Tribolium castaneum: one gene and its partners. The protein of the gene in region 3 purifies or fractionates together with the protein of the main gene of each other region. This does not show direct contact. Links are inferred from orthologs where the notes say so. Each region holds a gene or a part of one and is shown on either strand. Other genes may lie near its edges.

Evidence for each region. Proteins that work in one complex are often made in the same cells at the same time.
Region 1: the proteins of mitochondrial intermembrane space import and assembly protein 40 (region 3) and Tim10 purify together in Homo sapiens (co-immunoprecipitation; 4 studies listed by BioGRID and IntAct, with this or other methods). This does not show direct contact. The link is inferred for Tribolium castaneum from reciprocal best matches to the Homo sapiens genes CHCHD4 and TIMM10.
Region 2: the proteins of mitochondrial intermembrane space import and assembly protein 40 (region 3) and cytochrome c oxidase assembly factor 7 homolog purify together in Homo sapiens (co-immunoprecipitation; 3 studies listed by BioGRID and IntAct, with this or other methods). This does not show direct contact. The link is inferred for Tribolium castaneum from reciprocal best matches to the Homo sapiens genes CHCHD4 and COA7.

Annotation. Positions count from the first base shown.
Region 1 is NC_087394.1:33,997,219-33,999,442, reverse strand, and holds Tim10 (mitochondrial import inner membrane translocase subunit Tim10), read left to right. Parts: upstream 1-1,227; 5' UTR 1,228-1,367; coding exon 1,368-1,622; 3' UTR 1,623-1,724; downstream 1,725-2,224. Other genes in the region: probable RNA-binding protein 19, read right to left, coding at 1,744-1,911, 1,959-2,067, 2,122-2,224.
Region 2 is NC_087401.1:15,101,548-15,104,398, reverse strand, and holds cytochrome c oxidase assembly factor 7 homolog, read right to left. Parts: upstream 1,508-2,851; 5' UTR 1,417-1,507; coding exon 1,317-1,416; intron 1,255-1,316; coding exon 971-1,254; intron 922-970; coding exon 687-921; intron 641-686; coding exon 531-640; 3' UTR 501-530; downstream 1-500. Other genes in the region: inner nuclear membrane protein Man1, read right to left, coding at 2,030-2,129, 2,179-2,590, 2,639-2,851. UniProt on the Homo sapiens protein: Required for assembly of mitochondrial respiratory chain complex I and complex IV.
Region 3 is NC_087396.1:19,228,568-19,232,161, reverse strand, and holds mitochondrial intermembrane space import and assembly protein 40, read left to right. Parts: upstream 1-1,634; 5' UTR 1,635-1,734; intron 1,735-1,802; exon of another isoform or gene 1,803-1,934; intron 1,935-2,062; 5' UTR 2,063-2,364; coding exon 2,365-2,608; intron 2,609-2,661; coding exon 2,662-2,831; 3' UTR 2,832-2,974; downstream 2,975-3,594.

The sequences.
Region 1 (2,224 bases), on a different chromosome or scaffold from region 3:
CTCGGAAACTGTAAGACTTAGAGCAACGAACAAAAAACCATCTGATAGCGCTTAATTTTATCTATTTTTTCGACCAAACCCGGAGCCGCTCCGGGCAACGGTTCCGGCTACAGAGGCGATCAAAGTTTTTCACTAAAAAAATTCATAAAAAAAAAACTAAAAGTCGTAGAGAATTCCGGTTTGTTCCACTGAATTCTACGGCTCATTTTACATATTATATCGATTTTTCACAAGAATTAAAAATTTAAAATTTTTTGCCTAAATTTAGGGTAGCCATTTGTCATACTGAAAAATTTTATTCATTAAAAAAATTCATAACTCAAAAACTAAAAGTCGTAGAGCAATGCGGTTTGTTCCATTGAATTCAGCGGTTTATTTTCTGTATTATACCAACTTTTCACGAGATTTAAAATTTTAATTTTTTTGCCCAAATTTCCTGAGTAAAATACAGTACCTTCAAAAAGTTGAAAAAAAAAATTTTTTTAAACTAACTTCAGCAAATTTTTATGGACTTCTACATGTCTTAACAACCCACTAAAGTTGTTAAAAGTCCACAAAAAGTCCAAATGTTCGATTTTTTGATGTTTGATTTTTTCAATTTTCGTCGCAGTTTTTGTCGATTTTGGGTACCCGGAACATTTGTCGAGCAATAGCTCCGGAACTATTAGAGATAACCCCATGATGTGTATTATTGTTGGAAAGCTCTTTAAATTATCTATTTTTTTCAAAAAATATTATTGTTCTCCGACTAATAGTTTTCGAGCAAATTGCTGCTAAATGCAAAAATCAAATTTCAACTGACCAAGGGTTAGGGCAAACTAAAATAGATCTCTACTGTGATTTCTATTAGATTTGTTGTAAACCATCCCTTAAATAAATGGAAATCACGTGTAAACTAGACTTTTTGTGCTTCCATAACGCAACGAACGTACACGCAACGTAACCGCAAAAGTCCATGTGAGCATAACCACAATTTTAAAAATTCACGATTTTTGATATTTTTAACAACTCCTAGTTTGTTAAATAATGAGTTAAGGCATTGGTGGAAGTATGCGCTTAGGGACACATGCAAAAATAGGAATTGGATGGTAAGTTCCAAAAGTAGGCAACGACTGACCATAACCTCACTTTCGCACCGAAAAATCGTTTTATTGCAATAATTTGTCGGTTCGCAGGACCATATGTACAACGTTTGGTATTTACTTGTTCTACTTGTCCAAATCCAGTGTTGAGAAAAGGCGTTATGATAATATGAAAATAAGGGAACGCATGCGACTCTCGAACGTTGGTGATTACGAATTGGGTCCTCGTCACACTCCTCGAACTTAATTATCGTTAATAACGCGTCACATTTGCACGGAATTGAAATGGCAGAGAGTGACGCTCAAAAGTTGCAGTTGATGCAAGAATTGGAAATCGAAATGATGGCAGACATGTACAACCGTCTAACTACAGCATGCCACAAAAAGTGCATTCCTCCCGTTTACAACGACGCGGAAATTGCCAAAGGCGAAGCCGTTTGCATTGATAGATGTGTGGCCAAATTTCTAGACATCCATGAACGCATTGGCAAGAAACTTGGCCAACTTTCAATGCAAGACGAGCAACTTCTTAAGAAATAATTGGAGCGCCCCGTAGTTGGACTTAGTTATGTTTTGTTTTTGTTTGTAATTTAATTTTGTAATGTTGGTTTATTCTAGAGGTAATAAACTTGACTAGACAAAGTGTAGTTTTTATTTTTAATTAATCAATGCTTAAAACACTTTTCTTCGACTTGACTGCTTCAGTGGTTTGGAAGTGAGCCGCTGTTCGCTTCCTGATATCGTCCACACTGTCCTCACTTGAGGCCCACTCGAGAACTAGTCTCCGACCGTACAAGTGGGTACTTTGACACAAAGCCTCAAATGCATTCTAAAAAAATAATTATGCTAACAAGTTACAATTAATAATTAATTCACCTTGGCATCAGAGGCTGCCACAAAATCGACAAACGCAAAACCTCGATGTGAGCCCCCATCCAAGGCCATTTTCTTTGGGAGCCTTAACGCTTTAATTTCGCCAAAAACACTAAAACAATTAATTAAGTCATGTTAGTAGTACAATTAAATTTTAATAAAATGCCTAAAAAGTTCCCTAATTTCCTTCTGGTTAGCCTGGAATGGGATATTTCGAACCAAAATCTTGGTTCCTGTTTGTTTCGTTGCTTTGGTGCTTTTTTTAACAA
Region 2 (2,851 bases), on a different chromosome or scaffold from region 3:
CCTTCCCAGGGCTAGATTTTTTTTAAATATTTTCCTATTGTAAATAGAGTCTTAATTGCTCTTTTGACCTGCACATTGTTGAAAAATATAGAAAAAAATGAAAAAACCTTTTAAAAAATCATAAAAAAAACAATTTTCTAACCCCTTCTCAGGGCTAGATTTTTTTCAAACTTCTTTATAGTGTAGAGTCTTACGACCTTTTCACCTACACTAACAGAAAAGTGTCACATTGTTGATATCACATAGAAAAAAATTAAAAACCTTTGAAAATCATTCAAAATTCAACTTTCCCAGGACTAAATTTTTTCCGATTTTTTTTCATATCTAGAGTTTTGAATGTTATTTCGACAATTGCATAAAAAAATCAGTCGATTATTTTTTTTAACATTTCGGGACTGTTTGGCGTTTATTTCCTTTATTGATGTAATTACATAAAGAATAAACAATATTGAACTGGTCCGCGGTACTAGCGCCAACTTGAGGTAAATGAAAACACCAAATAACTAACAAAAATTTATTTCGCTATTATTTCACGTGAGCCCCTCCTGAAACGACAAAGTCTTGCCCCCTTGAATATCCTCCTGCATGTCCGTCGCGATTTTGCGATATTTCGCCGCCAGTTCGGGATTTTTCTCGACTCCTGTAACCAAAACTTAGGGATTTTTACCACGTACTAGACTACCAACCGTCTCCTTTGGCATACATCTGGCTGAGGTTGGCGCAACTGTACATATTCCCCAACTCGCAGCCTTTCAACGCGAACTTAAATGCTTGTTTCATGTCTTTGGCGACGGCGTATTCAATTTTATCACTGGAAGTGTCTTTGGGGGATTTACGGACCCCGGCAATGTACATCCCCGATAAATAATAGCACGCGTTGCTGTGTTCCGCGTTACAGGACTTTTCCAGTAGTGCCATCCCCTTGAAATTAAATTAAGTTATTTTTTTTTTTGGGGGGAAAAATAATTACTTTGATGGGGTTTTGGGCAATCCCCTGCTCCTCGTTTCGCGTGATTAGGAGCAAGCCTTGATGGAAGCACGACGTGGGGTCGCCTAGTTCGCACCCTTTATCGAAATAACCGTAAGCGGCTTTAAAATCGGACTTTTTCGCCCCTTTTCCAAGCAAGGCATAAGTGGCGTATTTGGAGCAACTTTTCGCATATTTATAGTCATCGCACGTCGTCTTGTACACAATCCCGGCCTTTTCGTAGTTTTTGTCGATCGATTCCAGATAATCGGCCAGTAAATGGCACACTGGAACCAATCATTACGTGAATTGTTACGAAACGGAAAAGTGGGGTTATGGCAGTTTTTACCTTCGGCCTTTTTCTCGCTGTAACAACCGAAGCGGTATTCTATGCCTAAATTTTTGATGAACTCCTTCACCTCACTTTCCGACTGGAAATTGTAAGCCATTGTTCGGAAAATGACGATTAATTTTGGTGAAATGAGAGTGACGTTTAAACTACTATGCGCGCGTTTGAACTATTCTGTCACGTTTTGTAAACTACTCATTTATTTATTGATAAAATAATATACAGAGTGTTTGAGGTAAATTGCGACAGGCGGGGGACCTGATTGTGACACAGGGCACATTCCAAGCCCAGTTTAGGCTCAAAATTCAAGGTTATTGATTTAATTATTTAATTACCTTCGGGTTTTTTGTCCCTGTAACATCCGACTTTGTACTTGAAACCAAACTCTTGAACGATTTCTTTCGTTTCCACGTCACTATTTTGCATCATTTCGGGTTACAACATAATCAAAGTCAAATATTTGCCAGTACATTAGGCCTACTTGCTATACGGGGTGCGTCAAACAAGTCGTATACAAATACAATTTATTAATACGTATTGAAAAATACAGTTATAAATTTCCTAGCTGAATGAACTTAAATTGTCTTAAAATCAACATTATTCCTAGAATTTGTTAATGCTTAACCTATTTTTCAACGAAACAAGTAACACGCTATCAGTCGTAAAAGTAAAAACGTTCGTTTTGTTAATAAATAATGGAAAAAACAACCAAATTATTGTAAAAACGGGGGCCCACTGACCGGCGAATCGGGAAACCTCTGCATATACCTCTCCAGCCGCACATATTTAACAGTGACTAAATTTCCCGCGTACCTGCAACAGCCAATCAGAGCCGGGCTCAAACTGGTTTAGTCCAGCTTACCACCACCCGTGCAGATTCCTGTACGCCACCGCAGCGTCACTCGGCTCCGCACACTTCAAGTAGACACAATTCGAATTCGTGTCAACAACGCAGTGCAAAATCCGACACTGTTGTGCACATTTACTCAAAACTGCTTTCTTGATCACGTGGGTGTTCCTATCGCCATCTTCGACCATCCCTCGTATTTTCAAACATGGCGTCGGCGAGTATGGCAGACTGTTTACAGAGCCAACTTGCGTTTCGAACGCTTGGCCTTGCCAACTTTTGTTTTTGGAAGTGTTTAAATTATTAGCCCCGCCTAGCCATCGCCACACCTGCTCCACCTCCCCTTGCACCACCTTCTCCTCGGTTCTGATGCGCGATTCGTTCTCGTGGATGTAGCGCACGGCGCGCATCCACAACTTCTGCTTATCTGGAAAATTGATTAGTGAGAGGGGGCGGGGTTTGGGCGGAGTCTCACTTTTACGCTCGTTGATTGGGAGGATCATGTCGCGGACGTGGTTGATTATCATGCAATTGTCGCCGTTTTCCGTAGCGTTTGTTTGAAGGATGTCTATAATACTTTCGACAATTGATATTTCTTCTTCGTGCTGCTTCTGGCGGATTTGTTTGTAACACTTGAAGGCGTAGTTAAGGGAGTAGACGAGCAAAGCCGCGCCCAGAAATGACGTCA
Region 3 (3,594 bases):
AACGAATGATAAAATCTTTGTCGTCGGCGCCCGTAATTTATATTTGTTATAATTGGGTTATTTCGCTGAATAATACCGAGGGTTCTTAAAATATAAACTAGACGCAATTTACCTGATGCCTGCAATAAACGAAGACAATGGCTAGGTAGATAACAAAGACTTCCAAAGTAGATCTGGCCTTTGTTAAAGCCTCTGCCGTAATTAATGAGTTTTCACCATCAACAATTAAATTCATTTGGGTATAAAGATTCATCATATTTTAAGTGCTCTAAGCCGTCACACAATGAACAATAATGTATGTTTTTGTAATCATTTGTTTTTAGTGGGACACTTGAAAATATAAATAATGCTTATTGTTCCAAGATTTAAAAATGGGCAACGTAATAAACCCAAATGCGTTTACAAACGTACTTTTGTGTGAAACTGCACTAATTCACGCATGAGCGACACAAATGTCGAAAGCTGTTATTATCTGAAAGACACACCGAATTATTTTGAGCTCGTGTTGCAAAATCAAACTTTTAATTTGCCCAACCGTTTTAAACGTGTAGTTATTGTGTCAGATATTCGTCTCAGTATTAATCAATAGTACAATAAATGCCGAAGTTATTATATTTGAGTCGTAAAAAATCCATTATTTCAGACAATGTTTTGCTGTAACTGTAAGGAACGCTAATGGTTATAAAAGTTCCAGTTTGGAAAGTTATTACGAAGGACGTCTGCAGATCCTTTTACAATTAGAGAATTAGATACACTAGTTGGAAATACTATCAGAAAGTTTTTCGTCGAAACGAAACTGCACTGTGGGTGGTCAAGGAGAGGTCTTTAAAGTTTACGAATGATTTGAAATTACATTATATTGTTATTACTGAGTACCTGTGTAATTAAAATAAATTAATGATTCTCCAGACTTTAAATACGTAAATGGACTGAAATTAGCTTCTAATTTTGTTGTTATCAAACAGAATTAGCATCTAATGAAACATAATGTCACAAAACAATTTATTTTTCTATTTATAAACTATGAATCACTGACCAACAAATTTCTACTTTTTTTTCTTTCAAACAATGTTATTTCTGTCAATTTGTAAATAGTTTTAATTTTTATTAAAATTTACGCTTTAGTACTTAAGAAAATTACCAAAGAAAACTTGTATTAAGAACATCAGTAGAAAGATAAAATATCACAGTATCCACAAGGGTAGATATTTTTTTTTAATTTATTTAACAATCTTTTTATCGTTTTGTATAATAAATATCTGTTAGTACTACAACCAAAAACAAAACTGGACATGGTTTAGGTTGCTTTATTTTTCTTAAAAACGATAATTTTGTGTTAGTTTTCACAACTCTGTTAAAAAACGACTCAGATCAACTGAGGAGAATTCTTAAGTTTTCCATAAGTTTCCTGGAAGAAAATTTTAATTTTTATGCAGAATTAGCTGCATAGCTAATAAACAATATTTTTGCTTTTTAAAATACTAATTACTTTATCAAATTATAAGTATAATTTATTAGTTTTTGAATGCTTGTAAAAAATAGAGAATTGAAATACGTCCTGCCATCTATGAACCAGCGGATGCACATATTGACTACAGTTTGGAGGCAAACCTATAGCTAGTAAAACAAGTGGGATAAAGAAATCTGTCAAGCCAGTCAAGTGATCCGAATCCAATGTCCCCAACCTTTAGATAACATCGAAAAACATTTTCTTATTTATTTGCGAAATAAATTGTAAGTTATTTTGCACTAATTGATCAACAGTTGTAACCATTGAGGCATTTTACTGTATCCCATAATTTTTATGTATTGTTCACCAAATTAGCTAGTCTCTTTACGTTTCCACGGGTGGCCTTCCTGCTGATTCTAGCTTTTTGTAGGTTAAATTCGCTGGAAAATTATTTCCCGGTTTAAAACAGTAATTTTCCTCAATGGCAAGTAGTTATGTAAATTAGAATGAGCAAATACTATTATTTAGACGTTTCCTTGTTAGTATATTTAATTTAGTTCACTTTCAACCACGTTTGTCCCATTTATCGCACTAATAATTGTCTTGTTCCAGGAGATTGCACGATAATACCGCCTATGAGGTAATAACAGACGCGTACTTTAAAAAACACATCGTTGATGCAGTGTCTGCGTTATTTGGAGAATCTGCAGCTTGTGTAGACATAGACGTCCTAAGATACAATCTAGCGATCAAACGCGGTATTTTAAGAGTACCCTCCGAATACTACGTGAAAATCCGCAGTAGTCTAACCCTGTGTGGTAGCTACAACAACATCAGTTGTTCCTACAAGATTCATAAGACCAGCCCCATTTTGCTGAATCTCCAGGGTGACAGTCGAGAATACGAGCACTGAAATGTCTTTCTGCCAAAGATTAGGGCCCCAGGGCAAGGATATAGTGATTTTTGCCACCCCAGAGGACCACAAGGTCCCAAGCACTGTGACTCTGCCAGAGCCTGACCCCCAGCCAGGGCTGATCCTCCCAAACGGGGACATCAACTGGAACTGCCCCTGTCTAGGGGGCATGGCAACGGGGCCCTGTGGGGTGGAGTTTAGGAACGCATTTAGTTGTTTTCACTATTCCGAGGCGGAACCTAAAGGTGGATTAGTCGGAAAAAAGTTTGCAAGTCGGCTGAATTTAATTATTTTTTAGGTAGCGATTGCTATGAATTATTTAAGACCATGCAAAATTGTATGCAAAAATATCCAACTTTGTACAACAAAGACTTAGCCGACGATGATGACTTTAGCTCGATGGATTCAGGCGACAAAAGCGCAGCGCCTAGTTCTGAAGGCGCTCCAAAGTCGGACAAAAAATCATAAGAACTTAAAGGCTAATCTAGTTTTTGTTATAGTTTAAGAAGACAATCTTTCCTAATTTGTCTAGTTTTTTCTAATTGTTACATGAATGTTACTACACAATTGTAACGTTTGAAAGTTTTTTTTTAATAAATTTGTTTTGCATTTGTTTTGTTTTGCGAATACCATGAACTGCAATTTAAGCTCTGGTCAGTGAAATTAAGTTGGCAACCCTCACCGTAGCGTTTGAATTTGATACTTTAAAGCCACAGTGTAAATTAAGTACAGAAAATATTACTTGGTTGATATAAAATGGTAAATAAACCATTGGTTATTAGACTTGATTGTTTCTGTCATTAAAAATACAGAATAACATAAAAATTTCAGGGAATTAAGTTAATTTAAAAATAGCATTGGAAAAGCAAAAAACATAATGAATAAATATTATGTTGTTATAACTGTTATATCTACGTAATCATTAGATTTTTTTCTACTTGATACCAAGTGGTGTGGAACTAATAAGTATGCGTTGAATAAAACTAAAATAATTAAAAATAAATAAAAGGTAGAGATCAGATCTACTTTAATGTCTTAAAAATATTAAAATTAGCACGAATAAAAAAAAGTAGTTGCTTTCAATCACTCAAGCTGTACAAGTGATTCTAGCATAGAATGTGCATTTTTTTAACTATATTTGTACTAATCATGTAGCAATTAATGCATTGAAGAGGTAAAGAAAGCTTAGTTAATTTTACTAATTTAGTTCGCTTTTGGATAAAATACTTCG